Caenorhabditis elegans: one gene and its partners. The protein of the gene in region 4 purifies or fractionates together with the protein of the main gene of each other region. This does not show direct contact. Each region holds a gene or a part of one and is shown on either strand. Other genes may lie near its edges.

Evidence for each region.
Region 1: the proteins of tag-65 (region 4) and snr-7 fractionate together in Caenorhabditis elegans (co-fractionation; one large-scale study listed by BioGRID). This does not show direct contact.
Region 2: the proteins of tag-65 (region 4) and sftb-6 fractionate together in Caenorhabditis elegans (co-fractionation; one large-scale study listed by BioGRID). This does not show direct contact.
Region 3: the proteins of tag-65 (region 4) and snr-1 fractionate together in Caenorhabditis elegans (co-fractionation; one large-scale study listed by BioGRID). This does not show direct contact.

What each region holds. Positions count from the first base shown.
Region 1 is NC_003279.8:2,723,078-2,730,075, forward strand, and holds snr-7 (putative small nuclear ribonucleoprotein G), read left to right. Parts: upstream 1-3,936; 5' UTR 3,937-3,940; coding exon 3,941-4,069; intron 4,070-4,122; coding exon 4,123-4,227; 3' UTR 4,228-4,305; downstream 4,306-6,998. Other genes in the region: Y71F9B.6 (Cyclin N-terminal domain-containing protein), read right to left, coding at 650-1,090, 2,150-2,324, 2,681-2,830, 2,909-2,993, 3,062-3,189, 3,241-3,398, 3,452-3,574; yop-1 (Receptor expression-enhancing protein), read left to right, coding at 6,933-6,998. UniProt on the Caenorhabditis elegans protein: Plays a role in pre-mRNA splicing as a core component of the spliceosomal U1, U2, U4 and U5 small nuclear ribonucleoproteins (snRNPs), the building blocks of the spliceosome.
Region 2 is NC_003280.10:94,263-101,253, reverse strand, and holds sftb-6 (Splicing factor 3B subunit 6-like protein), read right to left. Parts: upstream 2,851-6,991; 5' UTR 2,844-2,850; coding exon 2,695-2,843; intron 2,629-2,694; coding exon 2,361-2,628; 3' UTR 2,293-2,360; downstream 1-2,292. Other genes in the region: C50D2.10 (Transcriptional regulator), read right to left, coding at 1,158-1,303, 1,349-1,391; luc-7L3 (Luc7-like protein 3), read left to right, coding at 3,312-3,407, 3,453-3,707, 3,758-4,012, 4,073-4,195, 4,447-4,499, 4,858-5,035; C50D2.7 (putative ADP-dependent glucokinase), read left to right, coding at 5,998-6,092, 6,671-6,943.
Region 3 is NC_003282.8:17,084,659-17,092,157, reverse strand, and holds snr-1 (Small nuclear ribonucleoprotein Sm D3), read right to left. Parts: upstream 4,110-7,499; 5' UTR 4,100-4,109; coding exon 4,024-4,099; intron 3,974-4,023; coding exon 3,846-3,973; intron 3,795-3,845; coding exon 3,588-3,794; 3' UTR 3,308-3,587; downstream 1-3,307. Other genes in the region: Y116A8C.27 (ATP synthase mitochondrial F1 complex assembly factor 2), read left to right, coding at 414-583, 662-762, 1,198-1,416; Y116A8C.43 (Lipoprotein), read right to left, coding at 1,512-1,563, 2,117-2,334, 2,676-2,753, 2,805-3,011, 3,137-3,307; snx-13 (Sorting nexin-13), read left to right, coding at 4,829-4,935, 4,982-5,183, 5,232-5,353, 5,430-5,671, 5,723-5,821, 6,466-6,923. UniProt on the Caenorhabditis elegans protein: Plays a role in pre-mRNA splicing as a core component of the spliceosomal U1, U2, U4 and U5 small nuclear ribonucleoproteins (snRNPs), the building blocks of the spliceosome.
Region 4 is NC_003283.11:13,673,497-13,682,370, forward strand, and holds tag-65 (CID domain-containing protein), read right to left. Parts: upstream 5,092-8,874; 5' UTR 5,087-5,091; coding exon 4,987-5,086; intron 4,932-4,986; coding exon 4,792-4,931; intron 4,749-4,791; coding exon 4,608-4,748; intron 4,558-4,607; coding exon 4,406-4,557; intron 4,359-4,405; coding exon 4,006-4,358; intron 3,957-4,005; coding exon 3,682-3,956; intron 3,633-3,681; coding exon 3,508-3,632; intron 3,459-3,507; coding exon 2,976-3,458; intron 2,927-2,975; coding exon 2,815-2,926; intron 2,766-2,814; coding exon 2,619-2,765; 3' UTR 2,526-2,618; downstream 1-2,525. Other genes in the region: F58G11.4 (MFS domain-containing protein), read left to right, coding at 1-130, 395-693, 1,269-1,685, 1,729-1,898, 2,275-2,419; ccz-1 (Vacuolar fusion protein CCZ1 homolog), read left to right, coding at 5,380-5,464, 5,511-5,620, 5,670-5,980, 6,023-6,588, 7,288-7,411, 7,469-7,736, 7,785-7,907.

The DNA of each region.
Region 1 (6,998 bases), on a different chromosome or scaffold from region 4:
TATTTTCTATTTTTCGTTGCATTATGTCGATAATAAACTAAAATTAAAGTTTTTTGGCCTAAAATTCGCTCTAAAAATTTAGATTTTCTCTGGAAAAAAAGATTTTCGATTTAAATCGATTAGAAACTGTTTTAAAAACTTAAAATTGTCTACAGTAACCTTAAAGGCGCATAGCTTAATTGCTCAACGAGATTCGCGGCGAGACCCATCCTCCTCCAAATGTGGCCTCCCTTTAACCATTTTCAGATTTTTTCTTGAATTTTCCGACAGTTTCTCAAAGTTTAAGCTTTTAAATCATTTTTTAGACGTAATTTATGCTATTTTCTATTTTTTGTTGCATTATGTCGATTATAAACTAAGATTAAAGCTTTTTGGGCTAAAAGTCGCTCTAAAAATTTAGATTTTCAATGGAAAAAAAAGATTTTCGATTCAAATCGACTAGAAAATGCATTTAAAAAGTTTGAAAATTGCCTACAGTAACCTTAAAGGCGCATAGCTTAATTGCTAAACGAGATTCGCGGCGAGACCCATCCACCTCCAAATGCGGCCTCCCTTTAACCATTATCAGGTTTTTTCTTCAGATTTTCGCAATTTTTGAGCTTTTTAATCACTTTTTAAGCTTAATCGTTGCAATTTCGTTCTTTCTAACCTTAAGAATAATTTTCTCAAAGTACACATAAGCAGTTGCCACCGTATACACATCAATTCCATTCGAGACCCCAAGTTCTGCCATTTCTCGCTTCAAACTCTTCATTTTGCTCAATGTCAGATGAATCATTGGGTATTTCGCCTCGAAATCCTCATTTATCACTTGTTTCGCCCTCTCCGCCGATTCACAATGAAGTGTGCTTGCCACGCAACACTCGTGACGGATTACAGTCCGTTTTCCGATTCCCAACTCGGAAAATGCGATCGGATCGTACTCATCGATGACTTCTGATGATGGTTCATCTGATCGGCTGGCGTCTAAATCGCATTTTTCATCGATTGAAGTTCCACGTTCATAGCTTGAATCTCGATTTACGGCTTGTGGAACTTCGATGGTTTCCGCAAACATTTCCTCCGAGGTTTCGCCGTTTCGGAAGCTTTCCTGTAAAAATTTTCGATTTTTTATCAACTTTTCACCTAAAATTCACATTTTAAGACTCAAAATCTGCTCAAGTGAACGAAAAATTCCGAAAAAAAGGTTTATTTTAGTGAAAATCTTCAATTTTGCCAGTTTTTAAGTTTCATAAATCCATTATTACAGACCTTAACGGTGGAGTAGCGCCAGTGGGGAAATAGCTTTAAAACACGCCTATGGTACCACAATGACCGAATATCATGATAAAAAATTCAGAAAAATGTTCTAAATTTTATATGATTTTTTGAAAATTGAAAAAATCTCAGTTTTCCCCTAATTCCTATTTGAATTACCGCCATTTGGATTTGTTCGATGGAGCGCGCTTGCACGTTTTTAAATTAATTTATTTTATTTTTTGTTATTTTCCACCGATTTTTAATGTTTTCGGTGTATTTTTGGTGGAATTTTAGAGAAAAAGTCAAAATAAATGCAAATTTTTGATTAAAAAGCAAACAGGCGTAAAAATCAAAAAGTAACGCTTTTAAACGATTTCGAACCTGAATTAATTGATTTCACTGATTTACGCCTGTAAGAGTGCTTTTTAATTGAAAATTTGCAATCATTTTGACTTTTTCTCTAATATTCGAGCAAAAATACACCGAAAACATTAAAAATCGGTGGAAAATAACAAAAAATAAAATAAATAAATTTAAAAACGTGCAAGCGCGCTCAATCGAACAAATCCAATTGGCGGAAATTCGAATAGGAATTAGGCAAAAACTGAGATTTTTTCAATTTTCAAAAAATCATGTAAAATTTAGAACATTTTTCAAAAATTTTTTATCATGATATTCGGCCATTGTGGCCCCATAGGCATGTTTTAAAGCAATTTCCTCACTGGCGCTACTCCATCTTTAAACAGTACGAAAATCAACGATATAAAGTGAAATAAACGAGCAAAATTTGCAAAAATACGAATTTTCGCCTGCTACGACACGAAAAACTCGGTAAAATTGAAGATTTTAGCTAAAATTCGCCTTTTTTCCGCGGATTTTGAATCTTAAAATTCAAAATTCAAAGCCTCACCCTCCGCTCTTTCCTGGAAATCGAGGCGGGCGACTTGTCGAACAGCGTGAAAAACGGCGAAGGATTCCGCTTTCGGCGAATCTGCCCCAGAATTACTTGATCTTCAGCGTCTCGGAAGACAAATGGCCGCAGCTCTTCTGTTGATAAGTGAGCCTGATGCCGCATGCGATCCGAGCTGGAAAATTGGATTATAAGGTGAAATTATGGGAATTTATCGTATTTTTTCAAGATTTTGACCTAAAGGCGCACGGATTTTTAGCAAATTGCAGCGTTTTTTCTTACTTTCTGCTGAAAATTTGCGTTGTTTTCCTTTTTTTCGGTCTGAAAACTGAAAAATTTAACAAAAAAAACTACCACATGCTGTCTTTTCGCGTCGATGCACAGCTGAATAAACCCATGTGCCTTTAAGATCGCATAGCCGAAATTTCTGAATTCCTGCGCTTTTTTTGTGAAATTTTGTTAGATAATTGCCAGTTTTCGGGGAAAATTAGGTAGAAGATATAAATTATAGAGGAGATGTTAATTCTAAACCTTCCAAAAATCGATTTCGATCGGAATTTCTTCTTATTGACGGTTGTGTTGGCGAAAATCGGCGCCAGCGGATCCACGTAGTCGCTGTTCGGCGAGATATACGAGAAAACTGCCAGAGGCTGGCCATTCGTCGAGGTGCAGATGTAAAATCTGAAAATGTGGGTTAGTTCGCAACACGGAACGGTTAGTGTGGGGGATTTTAGAGGATTTTATGATGGTTGAACTCACCTATCTGCATGGGTAATGGTGCTTTTGAGCCTTCTCAGAAAACTGAACTGATTTGAAGAACAAGATGGTGATTCTGAGCGAAATTCTGTGAAAATTTTGAATTAATTTATTTTATTTCAAGTTTTGTAAGCTTTTATAAGCTCGCCAGCTCACCAATCAGCCCACTATCTTCTCTCCCGACGCCTTCTTCAAGAATCGGAGATCTACTGTTTGTGGCGGTCATTGAATAGATCACGTCGTCGGAGCTCATGATTTTCGCGATTCTTCGGAAGATTGAAGTTCTATAAATAGAGAAAATTAATTAATTATATTGATTTTCAACTAATTTTCACTTTTTCTGTGGTGTCTCCGCGTATTCCTGCGGCAAATTCGACGAGCTTAGCCGTTCTCCGAGTGAAGCGGATGTTCCGAGTGAGATCACTGATTCATTGTTGCGGATGGTGGTTGTGGAGCTTGCGCCGTTTGAAAACTTCTTTTCCGTTGGAGATATCTGAAAAAATTATCAATTAGTTACGAAAATCGCTGAAAAACCAAGATTCTCACCTTCGGAAGGCCTTTTGTTTGGAAAATTCGAAGATTTGTGTCATTGTGGCTTCCATCAACACTGATATTTGATAAGAAATTTTGTGCGACGAGAATATGATAGTTACTCTTCTTTTTTACCATCTAAAATTGGAAAAACGAAAAGAAAAAGCTCGGAAATCCGATAAGAATTGTGTGAGTACGGTGTGCAAGCGTCTGCAACTTGTCGTCATTTATGGTGTACCAAGCGTGGTGTTTGCGTACTATTCGAATTTCGAAAAATAATTTCGTCGATTTTAGCCTTTTTCATCCAATTTTCCTGATAATTATCATGTTTATTCTTTGAAAAATTAGTTAAAAAATGTTATAATTAATGTATTATCTGAATTTTCGATAGGTGGAAGTTGAAAAATGAGCTTTATTTTCTATTTTAAGTAAAATCTGTTTCTTTGATGATTTTTCCATTCTTCATTTTCATTTCCCCCTGCAAATTCTCAATTTTTCAGAAAAATGAGTAAGACACATCCACCAGAGCTCAAAAAGTACATGGACAAGGAGATGGACTTGAAGCTCAACGGAAACCGTCGCGTCTCTGGAATCCTCCGCGGTTTCGATCCATTCATGAACATGGTCATCGACGTATGTTTCTTTTTCCGTTTTTGTCTAATTTATTCTAAAATTTAATATTGCAGGAAGCTGTCGAGTACCAAAAGGACGGAGGATCCGTCAACCTCGGCATGACTGTCATTCGCGGAAACTCCGTCGTCATCATGGAGCCCAAGGAGAGAATCTCCTAGATTTTTCGATCTCCACAATTTCCTGTCACTTTCTCAATGTTTTCATTTTCAAATTTTGATATTAAATTTTTGAACCTTTTTTTTGATAATTTTTGATAACTACGTGGTCAAAACCCACTTCTCATCTCTGATTCACGTGAATTTCGTATAGATAAGAACTTCGCAAATAGAATCAATTCACAAACAAATGTACCAAAAGTTATGTTTTATTATTGCAGGCATAAAAAAAATCAATCGTAAAGCTTTTTTTCAGCATTTTGTTTTTCCACGGCTCAAATTGAACGAAATAGTGTTCATTTTGAAGAGAGGCACGAAACAGAGTAACAAAAACACGGAGAGACTTGTGTATCCCTCTTCTCTTTCCACTATGTGCGGTCGACGACGCTCTCCACATTTTTCTCTCTTTATTCTTCTCGTTACTCTTACTCGGCACAACAGCAGCAAAAAAGAATACTCTTTCCCCACTTCTTATCTCTTTTTCTGCCGACCTATTTTCTTCTTTCAAAACAGAAAAATGTTCCACACACACGCCTATCATCATCCGAAAGCTGTACGAGATGTGCTTTCTCATCTTTCCGTACTCTTGTGGCTGCAGCCGTCGAAGAGTTGAAATATCAATTTTCAAAACGCGGCAGATTCTCAGCCGGAATTCAGTGAATTCGCTTGATTTCTCGCCAAAATATAGAAATCAGACGATTTATCTGAAAATAACACCCATTTCAGTTGAAACATGCGAGAAAATGCTGAAAAATAGCCTGAATTTGCTAATTTCAGGCCATTTTTGAGCTCTTCCTCAAGTGTTTCGACTGAAATAAATGTTTGTTTTAGATAAATCAAGTGATTTTCTATAATTTCACATCAATTTTAAATGAATCAACATGTCACAATAGGTCATTTTGAAAAATTGGCGCCAATCCCCAAACCTGATCTGGATTTGAACAAGAGTTTTCTACTTCGATTTCACATTTTGCTGAGAAAAACCGAAAATTATCGATGTTCTCTTTTGAAAATTGAACGCTTTTCAGTGATAATTAGGAAAAATCACCTTTTTTCAAGTCGAATAATTTCAAAAGCTTCAGAAAATCCAATGTTTTGACTCGAATTCAGGAAAAACCGGAAGAAAATCGCGAAATAATATAAAATCCGAATAAAAAAAACGCGATTTTTTTCAATTTTGGCTGAATTCTCCACACTCCAACTGATTGATCGTTCATTTTTTAAAGGAATTTAGCCAAAATTGCAAAATCCCGATTTTAAAAATAAAAAATTAATTCTGTTATGATTCCGCGTTTTTTATTTTGTAATAATTCCCATTTACGCCGTCTTTTAAAAATGCAGACCCACAATTTTTCTGGTGAACATTTCAAATCAATTCAAATTATTTTGATCTGATCTCCGGCGCGAATCACTTGTACTTTGTTCTCTCTCCTCCCGTCTCCTCCGTGGCACTATGTCATTCTGAAGTTGTTTCAATGACAAATCACTCACGCACACACACACACACAATGGATTGTGCCCTTTGTGTTGCCGTTTGACTATCATCGATTGATTCCATTCCCGTTCCGTTTTCGCCGTGCTCTCTCTCTCTGGGTTTTTCGTCTTCTCCCGGGAACACTTGGCCAGTTATCACTCGCTCTTTCTGTCCTCCTCTCAACAGCTATTGGCTACTACTACTACTGCTGCTGCTGCTGATCCGGCTCCGGTTGGCTATAGGCACATTTTGATGCGATTTGTGTGTGTGTGTTCTTTGGAGATTCAATTTGAAGAACTCTTCGCCTTTTTTGTATAAGTTTTCTTTTCGGGGGTGAAAAAATTCGCATCTTTATTCTCTTTAAGGTGGTGTAGTCTAATTTTTTTAAAAATAGCTTTATTAGACTCAAAATTGTCTGAAAACACCGAATTTCATAGTGTAACTTCTCAAAAAAAGTTTATGACGGCTCCAAAATGGCCTAAAATTAGTTAAAATTTGAAATTCGACCAACTTGTCAAGCGGCTGGAAACAAAATCACCGTCAAATTTTGAGTATACAATGTAATTATCTTGCGTTTTTAACTTCATTTAGGTATTTTAAAGTCCATGGACGGCGAGATTTCACAATTTTTTTAACCAAATCTCGCCGTCCATCGACTTTAAAGTACCTAAATCGAGTTGAAAACGCAAGATAATTGGATTGTATACTCAAAATTTTACGGTAATTTCAAAAAAAAGTTTCCAGCCGCTTGACAAGTCGGCCAAATTTAAAATTTTAACAAATTTTTAGACCATTTTTTCAGCCGTCAAAACTTTTTTTTTGAGAAGTTTTCAAGAAGTTTCATTATGAAATTCGGTGTTTTCAGACAATTTTGAGTCTAATAAAGCAATTAAAAAATTCGACTACACCACCACCTCAAAAATTTATAAATTAAATATATTGAGAATATTTTACCTGGGGTTTGGTCCCTAAGCTAGGCTTCTGAGCAAGATAAAAATTGAAAAAGGTGATAAATTCATCACTTTTTTCTCAATTTTTTGGCTCAGAGGACTAGCTTGGGGCCCAAACTGTTCACTTTCTCTCAGAATTCCGAATTTTTGACCCCGGAAACAGAATAAAAATGCACAGCCCTGACTGGTTCACATCATAACTCTTTTTATTTTATCGCTTTTTTGTCTCTTCTTCTTCTCCGCCGCCAAGTCATTCCTCTCAACATCCAATTTTCCAGCGCCCAATGCCTGTCCCACCACAAGTGCAAAAGGTCTTGGACGATGTCGACAAGCAGCTCCACGAGCCGAGC
Region 2 (6,991 bases), on a different chromosome or scaffold from region 4:
TTGAAAAATTAGGAACTTTTTGTCGTAATTTCACATAAGGTGAGGCGAAGGCGGCAAATTGGTGAGAGAAAGGTGAGACGACCCTAAAAGGTGAGAGAAAGACGGCACGAAATGCCGAGCCTATTGAGTGCGTCACAACTAGAACAGACAAACGGACACAGAAATCTGGGTCTCGCAGTTTTTTTTTTCAATTAAAAAAATTTAATTTATTCAAAAAAATTGTTTTAAAAAAAATCAGAGAACGAGATCACGAAAAAACTTGATAAATCCGCTTTTCTCTTTAAAAAATTCCACCAAAAACTGTTTCTCGAAGAAAATTTCGAAGTTGATGCAACTATCCAGATGTTCCAAGTGAAAACATTTTCCTGTGAGAATGGTGTCGTCTCCGTAGAATTTGTTGGATTTCCTTTCATAAAGTGATTGTACATCTTTTAGAAGAAACAAAAAAAATAGAGAGCACATGTGAGATCGGATGGCTCCACAGGAAATTGTGAATTACTGGGAGGGGGTCAAATTAGCAATTCTACACGTTTGTCGAGAGGAGGGTGAAGGTCTAAATCTAGCAAAAAAAAAACCAGAAAAAAGTGACCAGATTAAAAATCGATATTGAAAGGGGGCTCAAAAGGGAGAAAAAACGTCAAATTTTAAGAGAAACAAAAAAATAGAGAGCACATGTGAGATCCATCAGTACGAGAAACCTTCCTTAGCATCGTTCATCATTCTCTCCATCCTGAAAAACCTTTGTATATTTAGGGAAAAACTGGCAATTTTTACTTTTTTTTGGTTTCCGACTCAGTTCTCTTTCTGGACTTGGTTTTTGCTTCTTCTCTTGACAAGTCGTGACAATTCACAGCATGAGCAACAGCTCCATCCTTGTCACAATAATCCGAACTTCAGATTGTGCAGCGAAAGGGTTTCTTCACGACGTGTGCATTGAAAATGTGATGATCCCTGGAAAAACAACTATGGCTTTACTTATTTTAATTTATTTACTCACATCTGGCACCATTTGATCATTTTGTGGCATTGCGGGCAGCCGAACTTCGAATCAGGATCGGTCGTAGAGTCTTAAACACGATTTAAAATTTTTTAAACATTTTCCTTATAAAAATACCGCTTACTTACTTAGGATACTAGTACTTACTTTGAACGATATATTACTGAACAGTCATCGCTCCAGCTGGTGCTTCAGGGCCGGTCGCTTCTGGAATTCCCATTACCCGACTGTCTTGAAGAGCGGCGACGGCAAGATGCTCATTTCCGTCGAGATTCAAGAATCTTTGAATGTTGCTAAACGTGGCAACTGAAATAAAAACGTTCGAATTCAGCAGTAATCATGATTACTTACCTTTGGAAGAAACGAATTCCGAGAGTGGAGTTGGAACTGGCATTCGAAAAAATAACCTTAACTGCAAAATGAATAAAACCACTGCAACTTTTTTCGAACGAGGGACGAGGCAAAAAGGTTTCTAGGCCATGGTCGAGTCCCCGACAAATTTCAGCGGCCATTTATCTTGCTTTGTTTTCTGCGTGTTTTCTTTCATTTTTCACCGATTTTTTCCGTTTCTTCTTATCAAAACAAATAAATATATTTTTTTTGCAGATGCTAAAACAATTTCCAAGTGAAAAAATTGTGAATTGAGTCGGCAAGTAGCAGTGAAAGTGGGCAATGTAATATGATGGATTACGGCTATACAAAACTCAAACTTTTTCTGAAACATGATATATATGCTTTTAAGATGCTGAAAGTACCTGATTTTCATAACGAGACAGCTAAAAAAGTTTTTAGATTTTCAAAATTCAACATTTTGTGCCAAAATCTCGACTTTTTTACCAAAAAAGTTGAATTTTGAAAATCTCAAAACTTTTTCAGCGGTCTCATTATGAAAATCAGGTACTTTTAGCATCTAAACATCATATGTATCATGTTTGGGGAAAAGTTTGGGTTTTGTATTCCCGTAATCCATCATATTACATTGACCACTTTCACCGCTACTTGCCGGCTGAATTCACAATTTTTTCATCTGGAAATTATTTTAGCATTAACAAAAAATATTTATTTATCAGTTTTAATAAGAAAACACGGGAAAAATCGGTGAAAAACACAAGAAAAGAAAGCAAGTAGAAAATGTCGTAAAATGCGGTGTATTGTGTGCAAACACCGATTTTTCGCATTTTTTCTCACCCCTCGTTCGAAAAAAGTTGCAGTGAAAACTACATGGGAAAGGCTTCTAGAAATACTTCTCAGCTACTCTTTATACTTTTTTCATGAAAAGTTCAAAGAAAAATAATCACAGAGAAATTATCATTCATTGAAGGTTGAGGGAAATGATAAAATAAGGTTTAAAGAAACACGATATTTAAATTCTTCTTGGAGTGAACAATCCCAACTTCTCCTTTTCCTTGTCGATGTCTCCACCAATTCCATATCTTTCTTTGATATCTTCAAGCTTGGTACGAGCCTTTTCCGTGTCCATTCTCTTCCACGCTTTTGTCGCTTGATAATAGAGCACCACAAGATACCGATTCGAAACGTTATAGCCAGACAGATGTTCGCAGGCGGTTTTCGCATCGAATATGTCCTCGTAGACGACGAATGCAGTTCCGCGAGTTTCTGCAGTGTTTCCGCTGAAAAATCAATACTGGTCGGGCTTCTTCAAGAACAGGCAAAACCATAATTGTGCTTGAACTTACACTCGAATTTGCCGAACTGCTCCGAATTTTCCAAAAATCTCGTACATCTCTTCCGTCGTGATTTTATACGGCAAATTTTTAATATAAAGAATACGATTGACCTCTGGCGGCAGCTTTGCGCCACGGTTTTGACGATTTGCCATTGCCATTGTGAATCTGAAATTGAAAATTTGAAGAAAAAACGTAATAATAAGAGGCAAAAAGAGTCTCGAAAGCAAATTAAATTTTATAATTCGAAAGATTTTAGCCAACGACACTCCGAAATTCCACAGGGAATTCCACGCGCCTTGTTTATTCATCGAATTCTTTTTTGGTATTGTTTACTGAATTTTCTCAACATTTTTACTGAAAAATGATTCGAAATAGAAAATTCTATTGAATATATTTCATAATAATAATAAAAAAGTCGATAAAATAGTGATCTTAACGCGTTTTCTCAAAGGAAAATGCACAACAACGACACTCCGAAATTACGCATGCGCACTTTGTTTACCGTAAATATACACTAGTGTTTTTGCAAACAAACTTTTGTTTTTTTTCCGGCGAAACGATGTTTTTTTCTGTTATTTCAACCGATTTTTCTCTCAAACTTTCAACAAAAAATAAATTTTACAGTCATGTCGGCTCGCAACGCTATGGCAGCAATGCTCGACGAGCTAATGGGTCCCAAACGGAATGTTGAACTAGGAAAAGACACAAAAGTCACATTTGATGTAACTTAAATTTTTTCCCCTGGAACTATTGATAGATTATTACAGGATCCTGACATATGCCCGTACTTCCTGGTCGGTTTCTGTCCTCACGACATGTTCATCAATACAAAGGCAGATTTGGGAGCGTGCCAGCTAGTACATGACGATAATCTTCGAAGATTGTATCCAGAATCTCCAGAATATGGACAACTTGGCTTTGAAAGACGTCTTATGCGGTTTCTCGTTCAATTAGATGAAGATAATCAGCGAAGAATTCGAAAGAACAAAGACAAATTGTCCGGAATGGATGATAGTGGAAAGGTAAACTCTTTGAATCTGAAAAAAAATGTCGAAAACACGCAATTTTTCAGCGAAAGTTAGAGGAAGAGAAGCGTCAGGTACAATTGGAGATCAATTCGATAGATGATGTCCTGAAAAATATGATACGAGACGCAGAGCAAGCCGGCAGTGAGGGAAATGTGACAAAATGCCAGGAAATAGTCGCGAGAAGCGAGATGGTTGAAGCTGAAAAACGAGGTCTTGAAGAGAAACTTTCACAAATGAACGAACCGAACCCACAAGCCATGCCACCGATGCTTGACGAAATGGCAATTAAGCCAATGGAGGTAAATCTAAAAATCTAGAAGATTTAGACTGATTTTTATCCAAGAAAAATACAATTACAGGTTTGTGAAGTGTGTGGGAGCATGCTCATCGTGAATGACGCTCAACAGCGTATCGAAGAACATTTGACTGGAAAAATGCACACAGGTTTCCAAAAAATCCGGACTATGATTCAACAGCTTAAGGTAAATATGCACACGTATATATCATATTTATATATGCTTTTACTATTAGAAAATGGGCTCTGAAAAACGCTGAAATCTCTCAAGCACACAAGCTGACGTACAGGTATTCCCCCCAAAAAAATGGTTCAGGTTTTTTCACCCTCCCACGCCTTTTTACGTGTCATGGCTCAAAGAGCAGGTATATTTGACTGGAAAAAACTGGCAATATGTAGACGAATTTTTTCGCGGAAAATAAATTTAAAAAATTTCAGGAAAAGCTGAAGGAGTTTGAACAAGCCGAGGAGACTAAAAGAAAAGAGCGGAGGTACTAGCAATCAGGGGTGCAGCCGAAAAAATTAAAAAAAAAAATTTTTTTCGAAAAAAAAGTTTTTTTTTAAACAAAACCGAAAAACGACAATTTTCGGATTTTAAAACTTCTTTTTCGATTTTTCTGGAAAAAGCGAAAAATTTTCGATTTATCCATTTTTTTCAAACCGAAAACCGTAAATTTTTCGATTTTTGAAATAACCACAAATTTTTCGATTTCTTTAGAAACACCGTAAATTTTTAAATTTCTTTGTTGTAAAAACCGTAAATTTTCCAATTTTTTGGTTTTTTAACTTAAAAACCGGTAGCCCTGCTCACAATAAAATTTGATCAATCAGAAACTGAAATATTTTCAGAGAAAAACGTGCTGAAGCAGCAACAACATCTGACACTGAGCGCCGCCGTCACCGAAGTCGTTCTCCACATCGTTCCAGTCATGATTCCAGGGATTCCAGGGATTCCAGAGATCGTCGAGAGCATCGTCATCATGGATATGATAGAGATCGGAGACACCACAGAGATCGAAGATATTAGATTATTTTTTTACAAAATCGAATTTTTTGTTATACCTTTTTTTGAAATTGGAAAATTGAGAAAAGTTTCAAAAATGTTGTTTTTCGAAGTTTCGAAAATCGGTGAAAAAATTTCAAAAAATTAAGCTGATTTTAGTGAGAAAAACAATTAGAAAAACGATCCAAAATTATTACAATTTCGATATTTTTTCCTAAAATTCAATTTTTTCCCGAATTTTCCTGATATTCTGAAAATCGGTTTCAAAAAATTGAAAAAGCCGATTCAAAATTTTTAAACATTTTGACTTTTTTCCACATTTTTCCGATTTGTTTCGTTTTTAAAAAATACCGTTTCTCTCATTTTTATGTACTGGTATTTCTATCCGTTCCCTTTACAACCCTTCTAATTCAATTAGTTTGTTTCTTTTTTTTCTCTCTGTATCTGTAGAATTAATGACTTCTGATTTTTCCGTCCAAGTACCTAATTTTTCCCTTTTCTAAAATTCTCAAATACGAGATTCAATTCTTCTCTCTAAATTATTTTAAGTTCCACATAAAAACTCTTGTTTTTTTTTCTTTTTTGTTCAACTGCCTTGTTTCTAAAAAGGGTTTGATCCCCGGGAAATATCGATTTTTGGAAAAAAAATCAGAGACGAAGATATATACTCACAAACTGTATTCCCCCTTTTATGAACATTTCTTCAAAATTAAAAAAAAAACCGGTTTTGCATTCTGTTTTCTCAACTTTTCGATTATTAAAAAAATACATTCATATTTTAAACTTTTCCGGTCGATTCTCTATTAAAAAAATTATTTTTTGCATCAAAATCAACCAATTTACGAAAATTTTTTTTTAGAATCGTCGTATTTTTTCCGTATTTGCGACTGAAATAAAAAATCGAAAAAATCTTTTAGACAATTTTTTCCCCCAAAGGTTCTCACAATTTTTATATAATTTTTCAGGTATTCAGCACTGCCACACAAATGTTTTCCGAAACATTTGTACCGTCAATATTTTCATATAAACATCGACTATTACATCTTTCAGTGTTATTCTTCATAGTTCCATATTGGTATAGGTCTGTTTTATTGCAAATTTTTCTCAAAAAATCAAACAAAAAACTATTTTTTTCACGAAAAATCAATGGTTTAAAAAAATCACTAAAAATTGAACTTTTTTCCAAAAAAGAAATTTTTTTAAAAAGAAAATCACAAAAAATTAACTTTTATTCAAATCAATTATTTTTCTATAAAAATCACCGAAAAGTTGAACTTTCCTCAAAAAATGATTTGATTTTTTTGAAATTGAATCTTTTCCAAGTAATCACCAAATAAAAATAGAAAATGACTAAAGCTCAAATGTTTAACTTTAAAAAACGTTTTCCCGAAAAATCAATCAACAATTTAAAATTACACATTCTAAACAAATTGATTTTTTTTCTAAAAATCACCAAATAATCGAACTTTTTTTCCAAAAAAATCAATAAGAACGTCAAAATCAATTTTTAAAATAATTTGAAATCCAATTTTTTTTTTCATAAGAATTTGACTTTTTTAAATTTACTTCTAACGTAAATATTTCGTTTAAATTTTTTTTGTTTTAGGTTTTCTAAATAAAAAAATTAAAATTTTCGTAAATATTTATCGAATATTTCAGCTACTACAATGATCAACATCGTCTCTCGTCGTATTCAGTTGAGACGGCAATGTTTTTATCATGGGAGCGAGCAATCGTCAAGCCTGGAGCAATGTTCAAAAAAGCAGTTATAGGATTCAATTGCAACGTGGATCTGATTGTTAGCGGAGTTCGTGTGGTCGATGCGTTGAACACGACGTGTTCAGAAGGAAAAGATCAGGAAACACTCGAAACATTGGCAGATTTGCATCAAACATTTGCACATTTCTTCCAAAGAGGAGCCGCTGCCGAAAGGTAGAATTTCTTCGAAAGCTTGGATTCGTGAAATAGAAAATAATTACG
Region 3 (7,499 bases), on a different chromosome or scaffold from region 4:
ATTTTTGGTTATTTTTCTACAAAAACCCACGTTTTTCCAATTTTTTAAAAAGATAAATTTCTATTTTTTTGAATTTTTGAAAAAATTTTTTAGAAGTTTTTCAAAAAAGAAAACATATTTTTCTCCATTTATTTCTGAAAAAGTATTTTTTTTATTTCAAAAACAAAATATGATGTCTGAAATGAAAATGTTTTTTTTTTTCCATAATAAATTTTTTTTTCGATTTTCTGAAAAAAAATTGTTATTATTGGAAAAAATTCTGAAAAAATTGTTTACAGGACTTTTTCAAAAAACTCGTTTTTTTCCATTTTCTAAAAAATTATTAATTTTTAAACAATTTTTTTTTGTTTTTTGAAAAATCAACTTTTTTGTAGTTAAATTTTTTTTTAAACCAAAAAATCGTCCATTTTCAGCGACACAATTTCTCAAAAAATCCTCGATTACGTGGAAGGTGACACTGTATTGTTCTTCAATACGGAAAGCTCGAAACTTCATCGCTACCAGGAGGAGAAATGGGCTCCGCTTATCAAGAATTTGAATAACGATTTGGGAATTAAAGTTCGCCCCAGCGAGAATATTTTAGGTATTTGTGGTTTTGGAAAATGGGATTTTTTAAATTTTCGAATAAAAAAAATTTAATAAAAATTCCAAAAAATTATAGACTGTGACGTGGCCAGCGAGAACGATAAGGAAAAAATCGACAGATGGATTCGTCAGCACAATTTCCCGGCTCTTGTTGGGCTTCAGTATGCAACTGAATCGGTAAGATGCCTACCTATCTACCTACCTTACCTGCCTTACCTACCTTGATTACCTTACCTATCATTTTAAGAAATGAGATTTCTGAATTAGAAGCTCTAAAAATTTCACATCTTCACACAAAAAAGCAACAAAAAATCCAAAACATTTTACCAAAAAAATTTTTTGCAATTAATTTTTCAAAATCTTCTAAAAAAATCAACTTTCTTTAATCCAAAATCATTTTATTGAAGAAATTTTTATTTAGTTTTTTTAATCGAAAAAAAATTCAATTTGTTTTTACAAAATTGGAAGCAATTTACAAGAATATTAAAATTTTCTAAATTTTAAAAATAAAATAGTTTTTTAAAAAATTTCAGAAATTTTTTTAACACAAAAATTCAATTTTTATGAATTTTACAAAAAAAAATTATTAAAAAATCCAAAAAAAATTTCTAGGTCAAATCATTCGTGATCGCCTACAACGCAATTCGTCATCACATCGACCCAGACACAGCAATCGATGCAGCAACACTGGAACAGAGAACTCAAGCAGAAACATGGGGAAATGTTGAATGGGCTCACGGAATTGAAAGAGAAGAACTCATGACAAGACTGTCGGCTGCTTGTCTTTTTGTCTATTTTAATTCAAATAATTTCACTTCAAAAACTGTTTAATTTCTTTTTTAAAATCTCTAGTTTTTAGCTTGTTTTAGTAATTGTTTGTTTTGTTTTTTTTAAATTCATTTCTTCATTTTAATTAAAATATTATTTTATAAATAACGCATCATACATTGGTATTCATTGTTCGCGAAGAAGTAGAACCTGAAAAAATGTCGTGTTATTATGGAGACGTAGAAAAATGCAAATTTGGAAATCGCGCTCCACCGAACATTGGACCTTTTAGACGGGAAAGCTAGAAAATCAAATGTTTTTCGAGCACTTTTCGTCAAAATTACTTTTTTAACAGATTTTTGGCATAAAAATTTACGGAAAATACGAAAAATTCTCGAAAACGGGGAAAATCAAGCATTTTTCGACTTTTTTGTGATTTTTTGAGTGATTTTTATGCATTTTATGACGAAATTGAATTTTTTTGACAAAAAAAATTATAAAACACCACCAGAGAAATAACGAAAATAAGCCGAAAAATAACTGAAAACGTTTGAATTTATCGTTTTGCCGCCAGTTCCTAACGGTACCCAACTTTTTCGCGTTGGAGCGCGATTGCGCCTCGATTTCAAAAGGCGCGTACAAATTAAGAAGTGCCGTTGAAATATTACCGGAAATTATTGAAAATTCGGTTTTCTCATCATAAAAACTGATTTTTTTTACTTTTGAAAGAAAATTGAATTTTTTTTTGAAAATTCAAACTTACTCTATATAACTTGCTTCTTTGGTGATTTTCAACAAAATATAATAATCATCTCTTAAAATATTCTCTGCAAATTGCCAAATCACATCTTCCCCGACAAACGTCGGTACACGAATCGTAATTTGGCATACAATAAGGGAATATATTTTTCTAATTTTCAGAAGGTTATCCAAATAATTTTCAATTTCTTTCATTTCAAAGATGAAAATATGCTCTATTACCTGGAAAACATGCCCTTTTCGAAATTAAGGTTGGTGCAATCGCGCTCCACGGAATCTCGTTGGGTATTGGCGGCAAAAATTAGACATTCAAACGTTTTCACATGTTTTTTTTAAACATTTTTACGTTTTTTCAGTTGTTCTTGACGATTTTCAGAAAAAATTACATTTTTAGCAGAAAAATAATTTAAAAAAACGGTCAGAGCAACAAAAAAAAGACTAAAAAAGGTCGCAAAATATTTGAATCCCCAGTTTCCCCGCCAAAACGAGACCTTTTCGCGTTGGGGGCGATTGCACCTCGATTTCAAAAATATTTTTAAATTAAATTTGTATTTTCAGCTTACATTTTCTTCTTTAAATTGAAGCAGAGCATTGTTTAGTTGTGATTTTGAAAGATCATCTACTTTTTTATAATTTTCAAGCTGAAAATTTCAGAATTTAAAAGTTCATTTCTTCGACTATAAACTACAAACTCCACGGAGGTTCTCCCTCGAATCGATAATCAAATATTTGCAATTGAGCATCTTAAAATCGGTATTATTCAATATTTGGAGGGAATTTCCCCCGAAAAACACGAAATTATTGCATTTTTGAAACGGAAAAAATGTTCCAGACTCTTCCCAAGTGAAATATTCCGAGAGAGCACATCGTTTTACAGTGTACGGCAGATGTGAAAGCTTCTGAACAGAGAAATAAAAAAAATAACAGAATATTCGCGACCGCGACGCAATAGCAAGCGGAGCGGCTCGAAAAAAAACGTGGATTTTCAAGTTTTTCGCTCAATTTTTTGCGAAAAATTACTCACTTTGCCGGTAAACTCTAAATATTTTAGCACACACTGGTCTGCCCGTGCCAAAAGTTTGGCTCTATCCTCTATCCCTTTTGGAAAATGCTCTGCATCATCGAATGCTCCATTTAAATGCGAATAAAAGAATAAGGAGAACAAAAAGAAGACGACTGGCGAATGATTTACCATTTCGCCAGTTATATTCTAGGCGAATACCACACTTTGGAATTGTGGTAATCTTACAGGGAAATCTCCGAAACCAGTTTGTCGTCGTCTTTTTTCTGGAAAATAATTTATGAAAAATGAAGTATGATTCAACAAATAACAAAGTGCGGAGCCGGGACAAGCAGGAGATCACGTCAAATTCAACGGTCTGCGCACGCTTTGAAAAGAAGAGAAACTGGAAGAATGGGGGACTCGAGAGAGAGAAAAAATACAGAGAATTGATTATATTTGCGCCGTGTTGTGCTTATCCACGGAACGTTGGAGCTCCTCCCGGGCGAGACATTCCACGTGGTCCTCCACGGCCCATTGGTCGACGGAAAGCGGTTCCACGTCCTCTTCCACGCTGATCGAGACCTCCCAAACCCATTCCAATGGCTCCTTTCTGGGCTCTTCCGATATTTTTGAACATTGGCGCGTTTTTGAGCATATCCGGCAGAATCATGAATCGGATCTGGAAATTGATTGGTTTACAGCTGAAATTTAGAGAAAAATGGTGAAAAACCTTGTTTCCGCGAATGAAAACGTTGTCCAATTGATGACTTCTTCCGTCGCGGAAAGTCACAACGGTTTCAGCCAGCTGACAGTTCATGTTGTCTTCGGCTTCAGAAAGTTTTCCTCGGTAAACTTCGCCTGGAATAGAAAAGTATTTATTGAGCGACGGGAAATTCGAAAATGATTACCTGTAACGGTTTCGAGCGTGACCATGTGACCTTCGGCCTCATGAAGAATCTTGATTGGGACACCAACTGAAGTCATTCTGAAAATTTTGATTCTGTAGATTCGGCTTGAAGGGAGAAAACGTTAGAAAAAAGAAGTAGAATCGCCTAAAATTTCAGATTTTCACACTTTTCACGGTAAAGTTTGTTCTCATTTGAAATATGCTGAGCATAATAGACAAAAAAGGAATAAAACCCCGAAAATGAAGTTTTTTCGGAAAATTCTAGAATTTGCACGCGTTGCAAGAAAAATGTGGCAACAAATGGATTTCCAGATGAGAAAAATGTGTTTTAGAACTTTATTTTGAAGAAAATCTAGAAATAAAACGGTTTTTCTTTCTAAAAATTACGAAAAATGAAGAGCTCAAAATGAAAAATGAAGGGAATAAAATTCGAAAATAAGGCACGCGACGCAGCACGCAGCGTGTGCAGTGGGGCGCGTTTGCGGGAAGGGCCTCATGAAGTTAACTTCCCGGAGACGCAAGAACGCCGAAATTGGAGACTAGCATTTATGTAAAATGCAAATTTAAATATTTAATTAAATGAAAACTATTATATTATTCTTAATCAATTATAAATACTAAAAAAATACAGCAATTTTCATTTGTAAAGCTGCCAGAAACTATTTCAAATCTCACGTTCCCTTGTCCCCGAGATACTAGTTTTACGGAATGCGCATAGAATTTTTTAATTATTTACCAGATTTTACAGATGAATTTCCATAATTTTATGTAAAATATGAAGAAAAATCGGAAAATTCTCTAGAAAAATGTCAAATCGGCTTTATATTCTCCTTGCTGTAGTCCTTTTCCTAGCAACATTCGGTTCAACCGGTCTAATCGTTCTTCCAGCCAGTATCCTCTGTTTCGTAGCGGGGTAAGCTTTAATTCTTTAGAAAAACCTTAAACTGGAATACCTTCAGATTTCTCTACATTTTCTATCAAACGGGACACGAAAAACATGACGAAATCGCTGGAATTTTATCCGAAAATCTGCAAAAAGGAAAATTATCTGCGGGAATTGAGGCTCTGCTGAAAAATGGAAAACGACTCAAAGAGCAAAATCAATATGTGGAGGTGCATTCAATGTGCAATTCACCGCAATTAGATTTGGTTTTAGAACAAGTAGGGATTTATGTGGACTGAAATGTTATTAAAAATATTTTTTTTTAGATTCTCGGCAATATAACACGGGATTACGTCGGCTTTTGGTATAAAACACTTTCAAATGATAATATTTTTGAACAAAGCTTAAAGAGAACCTCCCGAAGATCAATTGCCTCATTGACACAATGGTGTGTAGCTCATTAATAAAATTTTATTTTATAAAACAAAAAATGGAAAAAAATCAATAAAATCTCAAATTTCCAGTCTCCGCCAGGTTGATTGGGTTCCATTGCTCACGCGTGACGTTGTCGACGATTTTGCTTCTCATTTACGGCTTTTCCGGAAAGCTAAGGAAAGAACTGCATTTCAAGCGAAGGAAAAAGATAAAACATTATCCCCTGAAGATTTGGAAGCGGAATTGCTCAGCAATTTCTTTGATTTTGAGCTGGAAATGGAAAAATCGTTGTGTAGAGATCTTCTTTCAACTACACCGCATTATGAAAATGGTAAAAATTGAGATTTTCGATGAAAAAATTCAATTTTTTCCGATTTTTCAGCCTATCTTCATGATCTTGTCGATATAATTCTCTATTTAATAATGCCACCGGAAGATTTTAGATGTCGGCCGCTGAGATTCTTGCTTCGAGAAGTTGTTGGTCAGTGTCGGAAGATATTCAGGAAATTGAGAAAAATTGAAAAAATAAAATCAATTTTTAAATCGAATTTTCTTCTAAAAAGACAAAAAATGACCGAAATTTGATGGAAAATTTAATTTTTTTCTGAAAAAAAAGTCAATGTCCCTTTAAAAGATGTGTAGATTTGCGAGCCACGAGTATACTCGTGGACAAGCATGAAAAACGTATTTTCTAGCAGGATTTCACGGTTTTTTGCGTTTTAAATTTAATTCTGCCTAAAATAATAAAAAAAATTATAGAAAAAATAATTTTTTATTGATTTTTTGTTGAAAATCGAAAAATTTTAATGCTATTTTTCGAAAAATCGGGGAAAAAACTAAAAAATATTTTTCGTTAACTTTTTTGAAATCCAAAAATTTAAAGTTTTTCGATTTTTCAAAAAATAGCAACAAAACCATCGAAACACACAATTTTTCTTCAGAAAATAGGAAATCTCAGACATTTTTGCCGAAAAAAACGCTTGTCCTCGCATAGTACACGGTGCTCGTAAATCTACACAACTTTTAAAGGGACATAGAAGGTCTCGCAACGCTCTTTGCTGGCGAAAAATGGATAAAAAAACGAAAATAACATTTAAAAATCTAGTTATTATTTTTTTTTTTCAGTAAGAAAAGTGATTCTGCCTACTCTGGACTACCTCTCCGATCCAAATGAAATATTTCAATTAATCGTTTGGCTTCTCAGTGAAGTGGAACCAAAACCCGATGATTTTGTGGCGTGTCTCACGAGTTCAACATCCATCGAAGAGCTGGAAGCCGTGTTCCGAGCGATTGCTGACGAAAAAATTGTAATGAGAGGGAAGGATTCCGGTGGAGAACAGGATACTTTCGTTAAACAACAACTAGCCAGTCTACAATTCGTCGAAAATCTAGTTCAGCGGCGAATCGACTTCTTGGGATCCAAAGATTCCGCGTTGCTCACGAAATTTGGCGAAGATGGAGATCAACTTGTACAGCTTCCACTTCACGTTATTCTCACGAATTCTATTGCTCTGTCACAGTTCTGCGAATTTCTCAAATCAGCTGGCGGTCAAAATTATATTGATCTTTATTTAGCCATTGAGGTACATTGGAAATGTCCTACTTGTGTGATTTTGCAGTTTTTTTGGCTTAGTTTTGCTTTAGAACACCATTTTTGATGAAAAACACTGAAAAGATCAGCGAAAATGACCCAAAATAAAGAATTTTCGGTCAAAAATCCTGCAAGAAACGCATGCCGCACAGAAAAATGGGCGGAGCGAAGATTTGCAACCCTGCGGCGCGCCGAGCGTGTACTTCTCGTGGACAACTGGAAATTAATTTTTTGCATTTTCTCAGTCTTTCTGCTAAACTTTTTGGTTTTAGGTCATTTTTGCTGATTTTTTTTGTGTTTAACATTCAAAATTCGCAATATATCACTTATTTATAGTGTTTTCGTTCAAAAATTTCCCAAAATCGAGAGTTTGTGGTTTTTTAACCGTTTTCATTGTGAAAGCTTGAAGAAATATGATTTTAGATCTGAAAAATCCAAAATTCCCTATTTTTCAACTCGAAAGTGTCAAAAATCAAAAAAGTTTGATATGATAACTAGAGAAATTCCGTTTTTCGTATGAAAAATCCCGAAATGCACAGTTTTTGAGCTATTTTCTGTGCAAAATCTC
Region 4 (8,874 bases):
AAACCAATGTGTGTTGGATATCTTTTAATGTTACTTTCCAATTGTCTATTCCTCTTGGCTGATCATGTTCCAGCAGAAACTAGTGCATTCTACATTATGTTGTGTAGATTTTTAGGTGGTCTTGGAATGGGTAAGTCGTTATGATTGCTTTATTTCTAATTCAAATAGTCTCATAGCAGCTATTTTTGTATTTTTGTAACTATTTCAAAGATTTCAAACGTGGTTTTAATATTTCATTTAGCAAAATTCACACATCAAGCTTGGGTCGAATCAGAAAAAGTAAAGTGGTTCCACATTAGAAATGATAAATTGATATTCAAATTTAAAAAAAAGTATTGAACTCGCCGACTACTCCGAAAAGTAAATATATCTAGCTAATTCTCAAATTCTCTAGGAAATACGTCAACTTTACGTACAACCCTAACTGCTCATTCAATGTCCGATGATCGTGCAAAAGCAATGTCAGTATTTATTGGTGGACGTGCTCTTGGGCTCATTCTTGGTCCAGGGCTCCAATTGATTTTCTTATTTCTTGGAGATACTGGACTTCAACTTATCGGTCCATTGCATATTCATTCTCATAATGCAGCAGCGTTCATTTCAATTGTGTTAAATATATCTGCAATTGTTGCATTGTTTACAGTATATCATGAAATTGAAAGAAATGGAAATAGTTGCAGTCAGAGGAGTGTTGTAAGTGTTTTTTTCCATTTTCACGAAAAATCTCTACAGGTAAGGAAAGTAAATAATTTTTAATAATATAAAATTTTTTCGAAGTTTTCAATAAGTTTCTAAAAAAATAATAATAAAAAACTTATTCCGAATGTTAATGTGCCCTTATTACTATACTATTTTCGAAACAAAGTCTTTAAATTTTTCCGAAAGCTTCCAACAATTTTGAAGGTTCTTTTTATAATTTTAGAAGTTTTCAATAAATGTGTTCAGCATTTCAAAACTTTATAAACTTTTCCAAAAACATGTAAAACTTTTAAAAATATTCCAGGTTTTTATAAAACTCTCAAATTTTTCGGATCCCAAAATTGGATCAGCTTCTTTCCTTGTTTTTTACTCAAAAATTTTAAATTTTAATTCAGAATTTCTATAGAACCACTACAGTAACCTGGAATTATCTTCCTAACTCCAACTCGTTATCACTTCAAAAGACAACACTTTTTAGTCTAAAAACTATGAACATACGGAATAATTGATTTATATATAGTTGATGATTCCATTTTTCCATTTTAAAAAAAATTATATAAAAAATTCAGGAAGACGATGAAAATTGGCCTCGACCAGATAAACTTGCAATGTTCGTCTGCATGCTGACAAGATATTGCCAAAACTTTACATATTATGCAATTGAAACACTTGCTCCAGCATTCATGATGATGATGTTTAATATGGAAAGAGATTCTGCAGTCGGTACAATGTCCATTATTTTCTTCATCGCCGGAGTCTTCGCACTATCTCTCTACAGTACTTTTGTCTTCACGGATGTTGCTCGAAAATTGAATATTGGAAAAGTGAATACAATTAGTTTGATAATATTTATCATATATGTTCTAACAACATATCAATGGCCGTATATTCCAACGAATGTAGTTGTGAATACAGATGGAACTCACGGAGGATGTGATTATTCATTATATTCATGGTGTTTAGGACTTCCAAAAACATCTCAAGCGGTGCGATAATTCTCAGGGTTACTGTAATTTGACGATTTTACAGTTCTTCTACATTGGATATATTATAGCTTTTGGTGGTTGTGTCCCATTTATAAATGTTGGAGATGCCACGCTTTATTCAAAACTATTCAATCCAGTTGGCCAAGCATTGGAGCAAAGTCTCTATGACGTTTCCCAAGTTTTTGCGAGAGTTGTAGCTCCTGTTCTTTGCACGTAAGCTTGAACTTCGAAGGAAATGCTCTGCTAAAAAATATTTCACTTGGTAACTCGACACGACAAAATTTTGTTAACTAAAAAATGTGTGCCTTTAAAAAGTACTGTAATTTCAAACTTTGAATGCTGCGCATAATTTATCTATAAAATATGCTTATTCTCTAAAAAACTCAAATAAAACGATACAAATCGTATCAAATCTGTGAGAAAAACTTTGAAGAATCTATGAAAATTCCGCATCTTTGAAATTACAGTATTCTTTAAAGGCGCACGCTTTTTTGCAATCAGCAAAATTTGTCGTATCGAGACCGGGAACAGTAGTTTTATGCGGAAGAATAGCAAACTCCGCGCCTTGGTAGTATTTGTTTTGTTTCAGAGCAATATACGCATCATTTGGTCCTCAAAGAGTTTGGGAGCTTTTATTCGCCCAGTTAGTTGTCGTCACTGCTCTCTGGATAGCTTTTGCCCATCGAATGATCCCACTTCGCCCCAAGCCACGTCCAGTCTTCTACCTTGAATAATTCAATCTCATGCTTCAACTCACAAAAGATTGTGAATGTCTGTAAAAAAATAGACGGCTACGTCGCCAATCATCGCTTCGCATTAGCTTTAATAATGTGTATGTTTCGGAGATCATTTTAATGATGATAAAATAAACAAATTAATGATTTCTCAACAATTATTGCATAACAAAAAAAATAAATTTAAAACGTAGAGATTCTATTTTCGGTGAAAACTTCCTCGGTCGTGGTATGTTCCAGATCGTTGTTTTCTGAACTGCTCATATGGATCAAGTGAACGACCAAGGCCCATAAATTGCTCATTTCTATTACGAACTTCTCCACCAGACACAGGATCAACGATTCCCTGAAAAATTGGAAAATTATTTCTGAAAAATAAATATTTTGATTCTTACACTTTCATTTGCTCCCAATCCTTTTCCTCCCCAACCCATTTTAGCCATAAGTTGGGCACCTTTGTTATCGTACGAGAGTGGTTCCTGGGCAGATTTGAATCCAAACGAAGGTCTGGAAATATAATTTTTAATATCAACATTTTTTTATTAATCAAACAAACCTTTCACTGAAACCTCCTCCGCCGTATCCTCGCTGTCCAATGTTACTGTCTCTTCCTCTTTCCGGAGACGATTTTCTGCTAGAAGAAGAGGATCTTGACGAAGAACCCGAAGACCTAGATGAATTCGATGAAGATCGTTGTCGTCTTCTCGGGCTTGGACTTCGTGACGGCGACCTCGATCTCTTGTGGTCTCTAGGAGGGGATCGTGAATTGGAACGCCTCGCCTCGGAATCTTCTCTTAAATTTTCGGGTGGCTCCTGTGAAGCATAGTATGCGTCGACGCATTTACGAATTTTTTCAATTTGATCTTCTTCTTTCAATTTTCTTGTTTTGTCAAATCGTTCTCGATCAGTTGCAGATGGTCGATTTGTGATAAATTCTTCGACAGAACATTTTTGTTTTTCTTCGAATGTCTTTTTAATACGTGCCTTTTCTTCCAAAAACTCAAGAGGGTATTTCAAGTTGGTCGGATCTTCGGTGATTCTGTAAATAATTAATTTAATAAAAAATTGAATTGATTTTGAGAACGTACGCTCCATCGGCCAAAGCAATATCCATTTCGACACCTTTGTGGAACATATTCTTAGCAGCAAGTAGTCTTGATGACGGTGGAACTGATGCTGGCATTTCAAGTTCTTCTGGGTCCAATGGTTCATACTTGAATCAAATAAAATATAAATTGACAAAATATCGGATCATAACATACCATGACACTATTCATCGAAACTAGTGGAGTCATAATTCCAGCCGGTAAAGCCATATACGATTTCTGTGGCTTCAAATTTTCCTCATCAAACGGCATTCCATCAATATCTTCTCCATCGTCCTGCTGGTCATTTTGATTCCATGTGTTCGAAACAGAAGCGTGTGGTCGTTCAGCTGAATGTTTTGGAGCTTGATCAAATCTTGATCTTCTCATGTTTGACAGTGGAGCATTAGGATGATGCGATGCAGGTCCGGATGATGGCCCATGACGAAACTCTGTAAGAACCAATTTTTAAAATTTTCAGACTAAATTTCTATTTCTCACCATCAATTTTTCTCTCAACTTCGTCAATTTGTCTTTGAATATGCTGGGAATATGTGACATGCTGTTGTTCATATCCATCAAACGTTGCCATCAGATTACTTCGAATCGACTCCCGAATTGTTCCATAAGATGATTTTTCAATTTCTCTGTCAGTGCTAACAATTTGAACTGTATTCCTGAGTTGTTTGAATACAGAATCAGCGAAATATTGTCGACCTTCCCATTCTCCTAAAAGCTTTCCTTCTAACTTGTTGCTCAACTCACTCGACGAAGAAAGTTCTATACAATATGCATACATTTTTGGAACGTATCGAGCCAGCATTTTCATTTGATTTTCTTCTTTTTTTCTTTGACTGAAATTTGGTATTTAACGACGTTTTGTTCAGTATTCTAAGCTTACCAATGAAATGCCCAATCATTGATTAAATATAGAATATGAAGTCGTAGATATTCTCCAGATGCTTCATCTTTAACTTTATTTAACAGAAAAGACAGTATTATTTCTCTCAGCTGATCGCTTGTGCAGTATTCGAAAATCCACTTTTTCGCTTGCTGAAGAAAATTTTTCGTCAAATTTCTTTATTTTTTGAAAAATTACTTACTGAAATCAAATCTTTAGAGCATTTCGGTGTAGCCATTGCATCTAAATAGGAATTGAGATCTTCCACGTTCAGATTATTCTGACTCAACATCTTCTCAATTTTCATTGTTTCAGAAGTTCGAATAGCAGATTTAAGATGTGCCTGGATAAACGTGGATACAAGATTGTATGTTTGCAAAACACACCATTAGGAGCTCGTCCATTCCATTTCTGTGAGCGTTCAAATTCTGCTCACTGTCGATAATCTTTTGACGTAACTCATCGATTTTCTTGCGCCATTCGACAATCTCTGGTGGATCCATCAGAGAAGGAATCGACTGCCGTTCTGAAAAGTCAAAAATTAATGATTTACAATCTTGAAACGTTTAAAAGATTCAAACCTGGTGGAGGGAAGTCCCTAGGGAGTGGAATATCGCCACTGCGCCATGATTGACCGTGCTGAGAGCTACTGCCACCTCTCCAGCTAGAATTTTCATTCATGTCGTCTAAAAGTTATATGTTTATATGATCAAATATTTTATCTCTTTCTTGTGACAAATAAACAATATATATATTCTGCATGGTTTTGCAGAAAATTTGCGGAGGATTTAAAAAATAAATCGAGACATGCGCCAGTGATCAAGTTTTGCGTCAGTGAACAACGTTTGCGTCAATCATTTATGTCTGCTACCCTCCTAGTCTCACACACTCTTTTTCTCTCTTTTATTTTATTTTATTTTTAATTTTAATTTTAACACTGCACGGTACAAAACATATATTTTGCTTTTTTCAGAATGGAGTCGATTGCAAATCCATTGTATTTCTTCTCCAACTTGTCATTAAACCCGCCATCCTGCTCTAATGTGGTCAGATTCATTGGTAATTGAATTTTAATTAAAAAAACGAAATAATTATGTTTTTACAGATGTCCTTGAATTCTTTTTCGTGGCGCATCCATTATCAGGACGAAAAGAAGGCGAAGAACATAATCGTGTGATGTATTTTCATCCGAAAGGCGAGCAATTAGAGAGACAGGTTTTCAATATCGTAATACTTTTTATTCTAATAACTGTATTAATTTCAGACCGAAATAACAGGATTCGCAGAAGCCGTTGTTAACTTTACAGAAAATTTCTTGAGCACCTCCCGTCGGGAAATCAGTGAAAGAATTAGTGAAAATGAAGATGGTTTCGATTTCCGAACTGTGACGACGCAGAGAACAGAGCACGTTTATATTCGTACAGAAGACGATCAATTTATTCTTGGAGTATCAATTTCTAAACAATTATCATTGGTTTCTGATTATCCTCTATTTCAACCAGCGATTAGGAGTATACTTTCCGATGCCTACAAAATGTTTCGAATGTTTTTTGGAACTTTTTCTTCTTTTATCAAGTAAGTTAAAGTCTAGTTTATAAAAATAAAAATATCTTTCAGAAATGTTCCCGACGACATTCCAAAATTCAAAGAACGCCTTGATTTTTTCTTCTCCAAGTACATCCCACTACTGAAAGTTCACAAAATGCCACTACTTGATCATCTTGGAGGCGTCGAATTTCTACGAATGTCTGGTCCTCTCTACTTGAACGTTGTTTCTTTACTTTCCGAACTTCGTGAAGAATTCCAAGTTATCGAGAAAATAATGTTCTTGTATCAAGATAAACTTCTCTACTATCAACTTTCGAAACGCGATCTTCCATCACTATTTCATTATTTGACACATAATTTGCTTCCAACAACATTGGCTCCAGAACTTGAACATTCTGGAAGAAATGCTTCAAAAGGAAGATATCTACGAGGACCAACAGATTTAACAACAGATGCTCCGTTGCTCGGTGATGAGTCACTTTCTGTAGTTCATTTGCATTCCGATCAAGGAACTGAATTTCAAGAAGAACTCATCGGATACCAGATGATCGTTTATCGATGTCTAAATGCAACAGTTTGCATGTTTGTCAGAAATTGTCCAGCAAATGGTGGATTAGAAATCAGAAGGGATTCTGGTGAGTTTTTAAAAATAGTTTTTCGAAACGAAACGTTCTTATTACGTTTTGAGAATAAATTGAAAATAAAAAAGCGATTTTCAACTCTTGCTAATCTGCTAATTTGAATTGCCGCTCTTTTGTATCTAAAATCCACCCGTAGAACCGTGCCGCGCCTCGTTTTTTTGCAATTGTACCGCAAATTTGTCTTTTTGTGTTGTTTTTTTATTCTTAATATAGAAAAATGGCATAAATGATCAAATATATTTTTTTGTATATCAAAAGAATTAAAAAATCGTATCGAACCCGAAAAAAGTACATGTTCCTGAAATTCTAAACACAAGGAAACGTTTTTAAAAATGATTTCTAAATGCTTTTGAAATAGGAAAAATATTTTTGAACATTTTTGAATTTTTCTTCATTAAAAATTAGTCAAGAAACACAAAAAAGAAGAATTCGTGTCGAAATTGAAAAAAAAAGTCGAAGTGCGGCACGGTTCTATGGGCGGAGTTTAGAGACAAAAGCGTGGTAATTCAAATAAAGGGATTAGCAAAAGTTGAATTTTCATCAAAATCAGATTTTTTCCAAATTTGGTGGATTTTTCTCATCTTTCTTATGTGATATTTCGGCACATTAAACTACTTTTAAGGTAATATCTACATTTTCCGAACTCCACCTTTAAACAAAATAAATCTTTTTCCGACTTATTTTCTTTTCCAGAATCATCTCAATCATCTCGCGCCACTCCTTCACAGAATGGTGTTGTCAGTCGTCGACTTCTTCGAAATATTGATCAGTTTTTGGAAACCGAACTTTCACAAGTAGCGAGTAAAATTGGTGACGAGTAAGTTCAAACTTACATTATATCACAATAAATTCCATTAAATTCCATTAATTTCAGAATCGGCGACGAAAAGTTCCCGGAAGCTCCAGATTTCCATTACATTTACTTCAATCCATCATCGTTATCCATGACCTCAAGCCTTTCAACATCTCCGAAGCTTCCCGTTGCCGCTTCTGGATCTAATTCAACATTAAAAGTACCACTGCCACCAGTTGATGTTAATCGTTTAGTATGTGATACAATGAGCAATTTTGTGTCGGAAACTGAAGAATTTGGTGAATGTTTCGTCAAATCTTCAAGTGATTGGTGGATTGTTATCAAAAAGGTAACAACATTCTTGGCAAAAACAAAATTCAATGTTTTTATTTTTCAGGTTAATTCTCGCCTCCTTGTCTTAATCATTCCTCCATCCAACTACACATCATCCCTTGCCGATGTCCAATCAAAAACTGCAACAATTGTTCGATCCCATTTCGAAGCCATATTTTTTAGTTGATAATATTCATATTTTCCCATGCATGTGTGCCAAAATTTTGTGATATTTGCCTATAATTCAATTCCGTTGCCTTGTACTTTTATATCTTATTCAATTTTTTCTACAGATCTATATTTATATAAAGCTTTTCAATTTTAGAACATGAGAAACATGTTGGGCTCCACATATACTGCCGGGGAATTTCGAAAATCGGATGAGTGCCCTTTGATGCTGAAAATTAGATTTAGTCAAAAGATCTGATCATGCTCCCCCTCGACCACTCCGACGGCTCCTTTGCTCTTTTTCCACACGATTTTCGACATTTTCTTCAAATTTCTTCTTTTTCTTCTCTCTTCAGCAAAAAGCTTTTCATTTTAATAATCCAATTGACTTTTGAAATTTCCCCCCCCCCCCCGCACTCTCATGACTTCTTGCCAAAAATTTATATATATATTTCTGATGTTTATATGTATATGTGTCGTCAAGGTGACAAATGCATGTACATTTTATAAGGGAGGTCTGAGAAGAGAACCACCAAGAAATAAAGTGGGTGGAGTTTCTTAAAGAGGCAAGAAGGCAATGAGATGGAGGGGCAGGTGAGCATATTGAAGGGAAAACGAATTTATTGCTCTCTCGATATTGACTCTCGGGGACCTTCATTTACCCTCTTTTTGAATGAGATTTTCTTTTGCCCAAGTGAGATTTCGTCTCGCCACGAGCGAAAGTTTTCAGCTACCGTACCCTCTAGTACTGTAAATTTTTAATTAAAAATGTCACTCAACAAATTTGTGGCCTTTCCATGAAAACACCCAAAAATCCGAGTAAGACAAGAATATAATTGATGAAATTGAGCAAAACACTCTCACAATCAGGTACATATGTACCAGGGATGCCACCAAAATTGTTTGACCAAAAAACAAAAAAAAACCTTTTTTTTTCAAAAACCCAAAAATTCAAAAACCAAACCAAAAAACAAAAAAAGAACATC